Linked DNA regions of Astyanax mexicanus. Each later gene encodes a partner of the first gene's protein in a complex. Links are inferred from orthologs where the notes say so. Each region holds a gene or a part of one and is shown on either strand. Other genes may lie near its edges.

Region 1 (7,186 bases):
GACAATAAAAGACGCTTTTTCTCACCTGAACGAACAGTGCAGTGTTCCCTTCTCTTCTTTTTGCCTCGAGCTTCACAAAATAATATATCAAGAAATGGAAACTGGCTTAGTTCAGCAATGCTGTCCCCAGAAATCCTGTCTCTTTGCTCCTGGATTGGAAAAAGCAATCATGCCATCGCTAAACCGCTGCCCGGGCCCCGGGCCTCTGGGGGCAGCCCCTTCGGCCTGCGGCCTCCAGCACCACCACAGAGAGAGATTCAGTCCAGAAAGAGCGAGCAAGGGTGGACAGTGGTGGCGTTTCCTACAGGTCTGCTGTCAGTTCATGATCTTATAGTGAAGGAAGCTTCTCCACATAGCACTTTTCTGAAGCATGGAAGCCGCCGTCTTCTTCGCATCGTAGCTGTGCACAAACTGACAACAAAGAAAACACATGATTATTACAAGACGTTTGTTATTACATAACTTGTCTAGTTTCATTTTTTAGAATTTGGTCCATTATAAGCCCAAACAAATTATGTTGAATGTACACCAGCGTTAGAAGTGTGTGATATGATACGGCAATAATATACAAAAAATATTGCAATATTTACATGAATAAATTACATTTTTACAATACACAATATAGATCACAATATTATGACAAGCAGACAAAGGGTATTTTCAGAGACTGTTCAGGTCCAAATTAAAATAGCAGGATAAGAGAATACAATCCCTTAGAGGATTCAAAATGCCAGGGCAAATAAATGATGAATAATTCTGACTGTCTCCCTATTGATGTACAGAGGAAACAAACTCTCTTCTGTAAACACTTAATTAACTGACAAGTAGTAGTGTGCCATATTATATTATATGCAATAATATCGGCAACATTTTTTAATATTGTGGACGATATTATACCCTAAAATATCGTGCCATATCATCCACGCCTAATTATCACATCAAAGTACTACATTTTTGCTGCTTTTAGCAAAAGAAAAATTCACACTGTTCTCATGTCCAATTATATATCTACTAGAGACAGATTACATCTGTCCAATATCATTTATTTTACTTTAATGCTGAATATATGGAGTGCATTATTAGTGACCTGACATTCTGGATTATTGACTTCTTTTTTTTTTTTTTAAATTGTGTTTTTTTTATATCTCAGTTAGGGGTGTGCCATATCATATCGTATACAATAACAGAATGTAATTAGTAGTGTACTGTTGATTTGTTTTTTTTTTTTGTTTGTTTGTTTTAGACTTCCCAAGTCTCCCGGAGGGTGCGTGAGTCTACATATATCAATAACAGCTCCCTGATGCCCGCAAATCAGATAAAATCTCCCGGAATCTAGAACAAGTGGCCCAAGAGTGAACACAAACGTGCACACAGGCGACACCGACTTTTTGTACCCAAATAAAAAAGAGGGAGAGGAAGAGAAAGGCGCTCCCTGTGTGCATATTCATGAAGCGTATGCAAAACAGAGAGGGTTTTGATTGGCCTGTTCTCTACAAAGAGTCAGCTGTAAATGACAATATTTTTATTTGGAATTGGGAGAAATGTTGTCTGTAAGTTTATAGAATAAAAAAAACAATGCTCATTTTATTTTAACATATACCTTTAAATTGCAAAATCAGAAACTGATTATTTTAAAGTGATCTAATTTTTTTTCCAATATACCTCCCTGAAATTAATTTTTGCAAATTGGGATGTCTGTTTTAATTTAGTGTTTTGTCATATTGCAAAGAGTATCCTTATCATGAAAATACCATGAAATGTTGTGATATATATTTAGGGCTATATCACTCTCCTTTACTAACAAGTAACCCAAGCATCTCTTTTTAAAGGGACTGTGACTAATGGGGGACACAGTCTTTACTAGAGCAGACTGGTTGTGTTTAAAAATTACATTAGTAGCTTAACTGTTACCGAACAATAATAACTAGAGAACTAACTACATACAGTAGCTTACCTCACATGTAGGTTCAGGACTGCTGCTGAGTCTTTCCAGCGTTTAGACCGTGTTCTTCAGAAAGCTGCTGTGGATATTAGATGGCATTCCCCGTGTAATAAACCGGTTTTAGATGTGAACTGTGTCGTATACTCCGGAATAGAAAGCAAAAAGAGCAGATTTGGTGCAGAAATCCATTTAAACTGTGGCTGAACAGTTAACCTAGCTGAGCTGGAGCTGAGTTAGAGAGGAGGGGGGCGATTTCCGCGAGTCTGATGGCTTCTTTTCCTGCTAAGTTTGCAGATTTTTTTCTGCACGTCTGAAAGAGTCAGTTCGCCCGAGCATAAGTTTTTTTTTATCGTTGTTTTCTTTTTCAGGTAAAAAGAGAGAGAACTAATTCTGTGTTTACACTTGCACCGAAAAAACGGGGTATAAACCGTTCCTGAAAAAAAACTAACGGCACTGTTAAGTTAGTTCGCTAGCTTAGTTAGGTTTACGGATTATGAGCTTTAAAAAAGATAAAATATGCTCATACACAAGTGCAGAAACCGCTTAAATGTTTACTAAACTAATACACGCTAACACTTCACCCAAAGATACGATATTATCGACCTAATATAGTGAGAGAAAAAAAGATAACACGTTAAGGATAGTAACGAAGCTCGATGGTCAAATCCGTTTTCCGTTGCTGTGTTTGTGTCTTCACACGACAGAACAGTGTAAAATAAGTGTTTCTCAGTCCAAAAATCCGAATATTTCATCATAAAATGAACGACTGAAGCTGCAGACACATCTCAACATCACGAGTTTATCAAAAAACCGCAAAGTCTGGAGTGAATCTTTTCTAACGCTGCGAGTTTCCTGACATGAAAAAAATCCAAATCGACACCAGAACCCAAAAACCTTTGATTCCTTCAAAACGACTGAAAAAGTTGTAAAAATAGAACTTATATCCAGCAGGAAATTCTACAGCAGTGTTTAAAAAATCCCCCTGTTTTTAAAAAATAGAAACCGCTTACTGTCCACTAACTTCCATCCATTTCATGCAGCTAAGCGAACACCACTGTCGCAGGGAGATTCGAGTCCTTAGGACAGACGAATCGGTTCTTTCGAACCATCGAGCCGATTCACGAGTCCGAACAGAATTGTGTGTTGTTAGGATATACCTTTTTTGTACTTTCTGGATCTGAAGAGACTGTATTTATAATTAATATATTTACCTATATACGCTTTTATGCAATAATTGGCATAGACTGAGGGCTGATCCAATGTTAGATAACGTAATGTAATAAATTTAATAAAATATAATTCTCACAAATGATTCTCACAAACTTTATTTTTTTGGGCTTAAGGAGCACCTAAGCAGGATTTTGCTCAAACATTGCTGAAAAAACATTTATTATAAACACAAATGCACAGTGGAGTCTATAAGGGGGGATAAATAGAGGTAGTTAACTTGAATCAATGAATCGACGTATCGACACTTGAATCGACCCCACTGTAAAATACTGTTAGGAAGAATCGGTTTGCCAAACTGAATCACGGCGTTAATACACTGTATGCGATTCTGTAATTGAACAGTGAGCAGGCGCAGAGAGCACAAGCTCGTGAAGAATTTATTTATGTGTTTATTAGTTTTTTTTGTTTCTTTATTTACCATAACAATAAAATTAAGAATTAAAATTCGAATATAATAACTAATGCAAATAAATAAAGCCCAAAAAGATAAATTCTGTTCCCCTCTGTCCTGAATCTTCTTGTTCTGGTAGGATCATGTATTTGTATAGTTTGCAATTAAATAATTAAATAAGACTGAATACTAGAAAGCACACATTTGCAGAGGCAAAAACTAAAACAAAAACAAAACAATTTGCATAACAATGGGGTGTGGTAACACTATGATTATTAATACTAAACATGGCATTGAATGGATACTTTAGACCAGTGTTTTTGAACCCTGATGATTTTATGATTTTGTAGCATTTAACAATCATTAACATCATTACATTTAAACCTGTATTTAAAACTGTGTGTGTTGGTTTACTGATGGGTTTGTATAGTAAATAAAATGCCTAAATTTGTATTCTAATCAGGGTGGCCACTATTTTCATTATTTTCATCACTACTGTAAAGAAACCTTAATATACACTCAACTGGCTATAACTAATGCACACCATACCCACTGTTTACACTTAAGGGCTGAAAAATTAAAAACCTATTTCTTGGGGAAAAGTTGGAATTCCCCTAACAGAGATCAGCTGAGAGAGATTTAGCTTTATCTGGACTCTCAGTATTGTAAATGAAAAGCGCCACGCCAGCGCCACTCACTGGCCAAACATGATTAACACATGTACAGATAAGTCTATCTGACCTATTGCCTCCTGGGGCCACAACTTAAAGTGACAGTTCGTATTATTTTGTTTCTACACTGAGAGCAGAAGCATTTCTGAACGGAGAAGGGACAAAATACTATGTTTAATGGTACCAGTGGGCTGGAATGACCATCCCTGCTAAGCCTAATATATTTATTCTAAAAGCTGGGATCTCGGGTCGCTTTTCGCAGGAGTCCTTCTGGTCACGCCAAGCGTCTTTACGTACTTACGTCACACATACAGCCTCTGAAAGAGGATCCGACTCTGTTTTACTGTATGTTCACACTACAGCAATGCCTCCCACTGTTCTCTATGAAGAGCGGCAGCAGCAGCAAAAATTTACTTTTTTAAGATATTTAGATAAAAGTATGACAGCGTAGACCAGGGGTGTCCAAACTACGGCCCACGGGCCATTTGCGGCCCGTTTCCTTTTTTGGAGCGGTATTTTAGAAATAGAATGAAAGTTGGCCCGCTGTTAAGTAGGTTTTTATAATGTGAGATTCAAAGTTTGAATGCTAGGTATCAGAAACGGGCCAAAGAGTCTAAATGCGAAGAGAGTGTTCAGTTGTAGCGCAGAAAACGGGCCAAAGAGTCTAAAAGCGGAGAGAGTGCTCAGTTGTAGCGCAAGAAAACGGGCCAAAGAGTCTAAAAGCGGAGAGAGTGCTCAGTTGTAGCGCAAGAAAACGGGCCAAAGAGTCTAAAAGCGGAGAGAGTGCTCAGTTGTAGCGCAGAAAAAGGGATAAAGAGTCTAAAAGCGGAGAAAGTGTGCAGTTATTGCGCAGAACCACGGGCAAAAGAGTCTAAAAGTTGCCGTAATTAAGGAGTTTAATATTAAGAGACATCATGAAATGAAACATCAAATCGTCGCTGCAGTGTGAACGTACCGTTACTAAATGCAGATTTCAGTAGGGGAAACTCAGACCCCAGTAGCTCATTTACTCAGCAAAAACAAAGAAGAATCCGTGCTAAAACCAGGATTAATATTGGCTGGCGTTATAATTATAATTGGACTGGCGTTTTAACGGTGGAGAGAGCTCAGTGACCTGAAAGGGTTTAAAAGGCAAAAGCTATTTCAGTTATTTGGCTTTTATTACTAGCTTCTAAAACGCTGTGGATTTTATTGCCTGTAACATTGTGTAGCTTTGTAGCTGGAGTATACGCTTAGCCGCGGGCTAGACAGGCTGTATACTCTCTCTCACATACACATACACAGTGAGTCTAACTCGCCCCCTATTGGCTACAGACCTTACCATAATTCTAAACGTACAAAATAAAGAACATTAACATTTGCCCTCAACTAATTATTGATTGCTCTTTCAATGATGTGTGTGTGTATGTAATATATGTATATATATATGTATATAAATGTGTATATATATATATATATATATATATATATATATATATATATATATATATATATATATATATATATATATATATATATATATATATATATATATATATATATATATATATATATCTTTTTTTTGTGTTCTAGCTAACTGTTTATTGGATGTAATTGCGCTCTACACTGTGCCATTATTTCACCTAAAATGTATAAAATATGCTTTATAACTTGGAAATATTGTTTCACACTGCAATTTATTAAGGGGTATGAATTGCAAGCCAATAATTATTGTTACAGGCCTAAAAACAATGGTATATATTTTTCATCTGTTTTAAAAGAATTGAAACACACAAGACCAAATGAACACCAGTAACTTCTTTATTTCTTTTCTCCAAAAGCGTGTACAAAAAATGAAAATTAAAAAAAGGGAAGAAAGGAAACACAAAAGACTGGAAGGGTGGGGAGGGTAAAGGTGTGGATTTGAAGGGAGTAAGGAAAAGACATCACATTTTGGTTGTCTGGGATCTCTGGGTTTAACAGAGTGCTGTGGAGGAAGGGGCTGAAAGACTCCAGAGTGGGAATGAAAGATTCAAAGTAAAAGCGCCACCTTAAAAAGCCAAAAACATCCTGCTGTTTTAAGGCCACCAGATTCACTCCACTGATCAAGTTTCGACAGAGAATAATCCACTTGGTTTAAACACGCATCTCTCTCTCAGCTCACTCAACCCATGCTGACGGTCTACTACTTTACAAAATAAGAGTTTTATTCAAATCTGTCCTACCTTAAACAATCCAATCTTACAGCTACTGAACATCCACATATACACACACACTTTACGATTACGTTCAGGCAGAGACAGGACATTTGTACGCTTTCCCCCCCCCCATTTTTGATGATTATTAAAATGAAAAGACTCACACACACAATCTTTAGACAGGATATGGTGTAGGTTTGTACCTTGGCCCACATATCTGAGGAGCATTGATGTAAACACAGTGATTTGTGCCAGTGAGGAACAAACTAACAAAAAAATAAAAATTTAACATGGGAAAAAAATGCAGACTTTAAATTTACAGAGAAAAAAAACAAAGTAATCTGAACAGTCCAGGAAGTAGACAATAGTTCTGGGCTCAAATACAAACCCAAACTGTACAAATTCTCCTTTCTCTAAGAACCTGAAATGGATGTGTGTTTTATTAACAATAATAAGAATAATAATGTTTTTATTCTACGGCTTGGTAAGAAAATATTGTTCTGGCTCATGTTAAGAGCGTATGATTATTCGAAACCTCACAGCGCATTCAATTTCACAGTAATCTCCAACATTTAGAACAACAGGAAGGGCTTCTGTGGTAATCAGGTTACAAATGATGACATTTGTTCCATCTCTCATGCTTTCTTAATGGACTCAGAAAGTGAATAGTAAATAAAGTGAAAAGTAAATAAAGTAAATAATTTGGCCCAAAAAAATTTAAAAAGAAAAAAAAAAAAAATCTAATTTACAATGTAGATACAAGACGTCGAACAAA
Region 2 (7,900 bases), on another chromosome or scaffold:
AGTTCCCATTATACAATGTAGGTAGGGCTGGTTAAGCCCACATACTTATTTTCTTTAAGTAGGAATGGGCAGCAGTGCCTGCTTAGCAAGAAATTATAAGGTCTATCCTTAACTGGCACACACTAATGAGATGATTAAATAGAGAGTAATTAGGAGATACGTGTTGTTATCTTTAAAATAAACCATTTTAATAATCTGTTAGCTATACAGAAGCTAATTATATTTTTCAGTGCCAATACAGGATCAAATTTATTTCCAGTATGGTCTTTGAATAAGTAGAACAGACAGGATAACAAATGTTCTTAAAACAAAACATTGTTTTGTCAAGATCAGAACTTTTTTGTACGTTTAAATCAGAAGAACATTTCAAACAGGGTAATTGAGATTGTAGATCTTTACATATAGACCATGCAAGAGAGTATCTCAGTAGATTGGCTCGCGTTTCTGTTAAGAAACCTGTAAAAACCCATATAGAATAGTGATTCACATATTTTAGTTTTCTTTAACTAAGAATATAAGGTTAGGTCTGTAATCTGCTTAATATAAAAGCTGCATGTAAGGTTAAAAGGAGCTGCTCGCTATAATGATGATGATGATAATAATAATAATAATAATAATAAAACTGCCTTATCAGTTGTTATGCAGCATTTAATTTTTTTTTAAATAATTATATTACAGTATTGCCTAGCTCTACTTCAAATACATTATTAAACCTATAAAAATGAGAAAATATTCAGCATCCAGAAATAGAAAAATGTATACCACAATTGCCAGTCTGTACACTTACGTCTGCAAAAGAAATCTTTATTAACTACTAGTGCACCTGAAAAAAAATATTTTATAAATAATAATTTTCATTTATTGTTGATGATTATGGCTTAGATGCAAAGAAAATCTAAAAAATACTAGTGTCTCAGAAAATGAATTATGAAAAAGAAGCACAAAGTGCTGTAAGAGTTTCCAGAAAAACACTGGTCTGACTTTGGATTTGGAATAACACAGAGGACCAACACCTGCAAATGACATGTCTCTCCAAACCATCACTGATTGAAGAAACTTCACACTAGACCTCAAGCAGCTTGAACTGTGTTCCTCTCCACTCTACCTTCAGACTCTGCTCCCTTGATTTCCAAATGAAATGCAAAATGTATAGATGATCAGTGATGGTTTGGAGAGACATATCATCTGCTGGTGTTGGTCCAATGTGTTTTATCAAGTCCATAGTCAGTGCAGTGTTTTCCCAGAAAATATTACAGCACTTCATGCTTCTCTCTGCTGACAATTTTTATATTCTAATTTTCTGAGACACTGATTTTTGGGTTTCATTGGCTGCAAGCCATAATCATTAACAATAAAATAAATAAATGTTTAAAATAGATCACTCTGTGTGTAATACAACTATATCATATGAGTTTCATATTTTAACTGAATTACTGAAATAAAGTAACTTGAAACGAAATTAAATTTTTTGAGATGCACTAGTAGTTAACCAAGATTTCATTGACAAAGTTGGCTCGTAGTAAGTGTACAGACTGACAATTTCTGGATGCTGAATATTTGCACTCTACAGCCTGGTGACAACAGCTGATAAAAGTAGCCACCCAGTTCTACCACAGTCTCTCTCTCTACCCAACTGCCTCACTGAGTTTAACTTCTAAACCTTATCTCTATTAAATACGCACTGTTTCTAAACACTAGCATAAATCATCACCGCCCATAACAGTGTTTTAAACACCGAGCTGAGCTGGTTGTGAGGCGGTGTTTTGGTGTTTCAGCTGCTCCTCTGTGTGTTGTGTTGTGTTAAGTCGTTTTGTGTTACGTAGAGTCAGCAAGTCGGGGTTCATTATACAGCTCTGGAAAAATAAGAGACTCTTAAAAATTGAGTTTCTTTGATTTTACCAAATTGAAAACATCTGGAATATAATCAAGAGGAAGATAGATTATCATAAGCCATTAAAACAAGCTGAACTGCTTCAATATTTGCACCAGGAGTGGCATAAAGTTATCCAAAAGCAGTGTGCAGGGCTGGTGAAGGAGAACATGCCAGGATGCATGAAAACTGTAAGTAAAAACCAGGGTTATTCCACCAAATATTGATTTTTGAACTCTTAAAACTTTTTGTATATATAAACTTATTTTCTTTGCATTATTTGAAGTTTGAAAGCTCTGCATCTGCATGTTTCAGCCATTTCTCATTTTCTGCAAATAAATCCTCCAAATAAGAATGCTAACATTAACATAGAATTTGGGAGAAATGTTGTTCGTAGTTTATAGAATAAAACAACAATGTGCATTTTACTCAAACATATAAATAGCAAAATCAGATAAACTGGTTCAGAAACTGATGCGGTCTCTTATTTATGTTCAGAGCTGTATGTTATATCGTAGCCTTGGCTACTGCTGAGCTGGTTAGCACTGCTGTGGCTAGGCTAACCCGCTGCCCGCGGTATCAGACAGAGAGCTGAAGTGATGAAAAGTGTCTCAGAGGAGTGAGAGAGGGACACAGCTCACCTTTTTAACTTTCTTCACTTCATCCTCCATTTCTACAGCAGCTCTTCATCTTCTCTCTAATCGCGCAGAGGAGGGTCACGGGTTCAGCGCCCGGCGGCCGCAGTCCGCGAGCAGCGGCGGTGTACCGCGGAGAGTCCCCCCGGCGGAGAGCGGGCTCGGGGCGACCACCCGCCGCTCACATCCCCTCTCCAGCACAGCCACGGAAACAGCAGCCCGCCCGGTACCGACCACCACCGCTCCCGGGGTCGGAAAGACAGCGGATGAAGCACAGAGGGACTGAAAACTACAACAAAAACACCACCAAACTTTTCAATCCTGCCGCCATTTTGGGCGTAGAGCGCCTACCCAGTGTGCTTTGCAGGGAGAGACCGGAGTTTGATGGCTGTACAGAGCTGAGCACAGCTCCACTGATCCCCTTTAACCAAGTTACTGAAAACACAACACACAAACCTCTAAACTACCAACTGTTATTACCATTTATCACACAACTGTGATTTAAGCGCTGGAACGTGTTATAAACTTTAATGAAGTCATATTCTGACTCTTGTCTTTATCACAGCACTGAGCATTTGGCCCTCAACACTGAGTCTACTGATAAAATTAAAGTTTATTTTTAATACTTTTGACTGTTTGTTTAAGACTCAACAGAAATCTCAATGTTAAGTTTACTGCATAATTTAAACACAAACTGTCTCTTATTCTGTGTATAAATTTCTAAATAAATGGACCAATAGAATTTTTCCTAAATGACCTGAAATAAACTCTTTTAACACTGCCCACTAAACAAAGAGACGTTGAAACGACGTCTTTTCTAGGTCATTTTTGCACGTCCAATTTTGGTCTCCTGAAGGTGCAGACTGTGACGCCAGACGACGTCTTTTTTCTGACGTCTTCTGCACGTCCAGTATTGACGTCCCCCAGACCTCCGGATAAGGGCTAATTCTAGTTTAAATTAAGTCGTTGTGGACGTCTTTTCTACGTGAAATTTACATGTATACGTTTTATAGACCAACTACTTTGAGGCTCCCTGCATAACTGTAGTGCCATTTCAGACGGTGGCAACTGTTCCATTGTTCCAGCTTCAGCAGTTAACTGGAAACGCATACAAAGCTAAGCCAAACAATTACTGGAACAGGTTCACAACCTTCTGGAACTAGTTATGCACGTTAGTTATACACAATATGCTTTACAAATAAATTGCATTTCAACCCTCTCACTTTTTTCAAAACATGTCAACCTGCAAAGAACCAGTAAAAGCAAGGGATAAATTAATTACCCCCATCTTACCACTGTTGATTTTAAATTGACCCTTTCTGTTTGGGGAAACATTAATATAATAATAAACATAATGAGTAAATCTCATTTGGGGTTAATGCCTTTATTTTACATCAACATAACATACACCTTAGATTCACACCATAACAATTTCACTAAACATTTACCTTCCCTTAAAACTATTACAGCTTTACATTACACCTTCCCTTAACAATATTATACCTTCCCTTAACACTATTACACATTTAACATTACACCTTCCCTCAACACTATTACACCTTCCCTTAACAATATTATACCTTCCCTCAAAACTATTACACCTTTACATTACACCAGAGTCTCAAAGTACCGGCCCACGCGGTTTCATACGGCCCCTCACGGGTTAACAAAATAAACATACATCTGGCCCGCAATTCAATTTAATTATTTATGCTTTATTATGTTCGTTTTCATATTTTATCTTAACTTGTATTTTGGTGTGTGTGTGTGGTTTTTGTTTTTTTTTTTGCTTACGCTGCGTTGCCTGCTTTAGTAGTCTTCAGTAGCCTTCAACAGTCTAACCTTGCTGCCGTGGTGTGTCCACTAAACTCCGTAGTTATAAACATCCTGAGGTTAGCAGCGCGCTAACTGACCTGTTTATAATGTAATCCGAGCAGTGCCTCCGTGACGCTGCTCTAAACTGCTGCTGTTAGCTGCTTGGGCTGAAAGATGAACTGTAGAGAGCTGTATTATCCGGTTAGTGGGGTTATTTTATTTCATACACAGAAGAACTTAAAAAATTTCAAAACGCTCCAGACAGGCTCAGCTGAGTCCTGTAGCCCGTGGCTGGGCTGTAGCTCTGACTAAGCAAAGACTGCGGGCTTGTGGTGCTGCAGCTGCAGCTCCGACTAGTGGTTGGATGAGGAACTGCTAAATCTGAGGAAATGCTAAATCTGTCACAGCTCACAATTTTTGATTTTATATTTATTAAGCCTTATTTCAGTATCAAACGTTTTGATCAAAGTTAATATAACTTGTACTTGATGTAATTTCTATTCACTTGAATAGTTTGGTTCTTGATTGATGGAGTTTTTGGATTTCATAACATGACAAATTAAAAGGATTTATGTTAATAGAGCAACAAGCAAACATTTTTCCATGCAACTGTAATATTTGATTGAATAAATAGTATATTGAGAGTTATTTAACATTAAGGAGTAATTACATTCATTTTATATTACATCTGGTTACATTTTCTTATATTTATAAGTTACATCTGGCCCTCAGAGGACAGCCAATATGTCAATGTGGCCCTCGTCAAAAATGAGTTTGAGACCCCTGCATTACACCTTCCCTTAACAATATTATACCTTCCCTTAACACTATTAACTTACACCTTTAACATTACCCCTTCCCTCAACACTATTACACCTTCCCTCAACACTATCACACCTTTAACATTACACCTTCCCTCAACACTATCACACCTTTCCACTACACCTTCCCTTAACACCATTACAACTTTACATTACACCTTTCCATTACACCTTCCCTTAACATCATTATACTTTCATTAAGATTCTAGGTCCTGAGAGACAGCGGTGTGTCCTCCACGTCTTTGTGGTGCATGTTTGAGATGCTCCGAAGTATTAAGTCCTCGGTGGCTGTCCCGTCACATTTCATGACTCCATCTGCACAAGTAGAAAAAGACAAATTAGAAATCTCAGAAAATGTTGAAGATGGCCATTTATTTTTGTCCCACAACAAACTATTTTAAATTGCCTTATTTATGTAATATTCACATAAACTTACTTCTTCATGCTATGGCTTAGCTAACGCTAAGCTAACGATAAGCTAACGCTAAGCTAAAGGCGGGAATACACATTTAACACCTGACGAGAATTATCGTGCCGTTTTAATTCTCACACATCATATTAAGCTATTTTAATATTTTTTTTCCCACAACAAACTATTTTAAATTGCCTTATTTATGTAATATTAACATAAACTTACTTCTTCATGCTATGGCTTAGCTAACGCTAAGCTAACGCTAAGCTAACTGGTTAAGCTGACTGGTTGAAATCAACTTAACAATTTTCCACATAAATTGCATTTCCAAATAAAAATAAAAACATACGTAAATAAATACCTACATTCGTTAATTAATTAAATAGATAAAAATATAATACTCAAATAAATAATTAGAAATAAATGATGCTTAATCATAAATAATCTATATTCATAGTGATTAACAATATTGATAACAACAATTTTGACATACATTTAAAAATAAATATATTCTTAAATAATGTTAATTTCCTGCACCTGTATAAGACGTCCCCATGACGTCCAAAAAAGTGACCTAGTCCGACGTTCAAATGTTTAACTGCATATTGACGTCCAAGTGGGGTCATAGTTAGACGTCCAAATAGCGGACCTAGTTTGCACGTCGTGTAGACGTACAGAATTGGTCTTGGACCGACCGACGCAATATAGACATGATCTGCACGTCCATAAGACGTCTAATGTTTAGTGGGTGACTTCTATTGAAAGTTTTATTTCTCTCCTGTAAAGCTCCGGTTTTGGATATACATGATTTTCAATTGTTCCCATTTTAATCAAATTTTATTTTCACTTTTCCTGTCACAGTTTTAGGTAAAAATTGGCATTTGATGAAAACGTGGTTGATCTAGAGCTGCAAACATTTTAAATGGTTCATGTTGACCATGTTCTGTTCTTATCAAAAATCTATTTTAATTCACTAGTAATTTTCTATCATTTGAATTACCGTGGTATTTTACCAAAACTGGGGGACAGTTCAGGCTTTACCTCACCTAAATGAAAAATAAACACCTTGAAAATAAAACAGTATGAATGCTTTGATATCACTTATGTCAGTGATTATTAGGGGAGGTTATTCCAAGATGACAGGGAATTCTCGAACATAAATAGCTTCATATTGGAATACAAAAATAGCTAAACATATAACTGAATAGTGGAAATAAATAATATAATAAATAAAAAGACTAAAATAACAATAATTACAATCTTTTTCCACACAGGACCATGTAGGTTTGCATTTTTTCTCCCTTGATAATAAAAACAGCACTTGTGTTGTATTTGACTAATATTTAAAATTGTTGGATGATCTGAAACATTTAAGAGTGATAAACACGTAAAAAAATCTGAAATCATAAAAGGGGGCAAACACTTTTTCACACCACTGTTTGTGATACATGATAAATTGTTCCAGACAGCAACCTCAGCAACCTACCAACATATAAAATCAAGCACTCATGCAGTCGGCATTTACAGACATTAGTGAAAGAATGGGAGGCCACCATTGCAAAAATCAGAGTTGAGCCTTACAACACTATTACAGCAAATAAACAACAGGGGGCGTGCTTGTTTGGCGTCCTGCTTCACAGGACATACTTGTGTCTGGAACAAGCTGTAGATGTGGAACACCAAAAACTAACTGATGAAAAAAGGGATTAGAAAAATATCTTAATTTAGACCTGACACATGTAAACACTAGTAAAGCATTTAGACAGTGGAGGGACCTCTGAACTATTAATGCTCAAGAGGTGGGAAACTTTGCCTTATGTTTGCTGTTGTTTTCTTCCTTTTTGTGAGTGTTGATGACAGTCATAACTGGTTTTGTTAGCAGCAGCAATTGTGAGATACCCCTCGCTGCAGAACCACAAGTCCAGGGGGTGGGGCTGGATCTGATCCAAGGGGTGGAGCCTGACCTCCTGACCACCCATATCTTCTTTTCATTGGTTTTAAGTCATCGCATTTCAATTCGTCGTTAAACTTAAAACGTGTCGCTTACGTTTCCCGACCAGGACTTTTATCTTATCAAATAAATCCTGGAAAATGTTATTTGCTACGTAGCACATTTAAATCACACAATACAGATTTAAAAGAAGGAACATGTCTGTGATTACAAACATAATAAAATGCTGTACATTTCCTATATAAATATTAACTATTTCATTTTTTATCTTTAATAAAAATGGCCTAAAGACAAAATAAAAAATAAATAATTAAAATAAAGGATGCCAATGAGTGTCTTATCTACCAGCTACCATGTTCATTTATAATTACAGATATTAATACACAATCAAAATGG

What was found.
Region 2: the proteins of map3k3 (region 1) and ccm2 are in contact, whole or in part, in a crystal structure (PDB 4Y5O), measured with the Homo sapiens proteins. The link is inferred for Astyanax mexicanus from reciprocal best matches to the Homo sapiens genes MAP3K3 and CCM2. Residues at the interface, in NP_002392.2 of Homo sapiens: Asp2, Glu3, Gln4, Ala6, Leu7, Ser9, Ile10, Met11, Asn12, Asp13, Leu14, Val15, Ala16, Leu17, Glu50, Asp82, His84, Met86, Asn88, Glu89, Leu90, Ser91, Ile92, Leu93, Arg117, Leu119, Leu121, Ser122, Gln123, Asp124; in NP_113631.1 of Homo sapiens: Leu299, Tyr302, Met303, Leu306, Arg307, Ser312, Gln313, Ile315, Gln316, Gln317, Phe318, Ala319, Ala320, Leu321, Leu322, His323, Glu324, Arg326, Glu333, Ile336, Asn337, Gln340, Leu341, Leu353, Phe356, Pro358.

Annotation. Positions count from the first base shown.
Region 1 is NC_064426.1:21,052,387-21,059,572, reverse strand, and holds the start of map3k3 (mitogen-activated protein kinase kinase kinase 3), read right to left. Parts: upstream 3,035-7,186; 5' UTR 1,955-3,034; intron 412-1,954; 5' UTR 26-411; intron 1-25. UniProt on the Homo sapiens protein: Component of a protein kinase signal transduction cascade. Mediates activation of the NF-kappa-B, AP1 and DDIT3 transcriptional regulators.
Region 2 is NC_064408.1:71,268,021-71,275,920, reverse strand, and holds the start of ccm2 (cerebral cavernous malformations protein 2 homolog), read right to left. Parts: upstream 3,011-7,900; 5' UTR 2,542-3,010; coding exon 2,512-2,541; intron 1-2,511. UniProt on the Homo sapiens protein: Component of the CCM signaling pathway which is a crucial regulator of heart and vessel formation and integrity. May act through the stabilization of endothelial cell junctions. May function as a scaffold protein for MAP2K3-MAP3K3 signaling.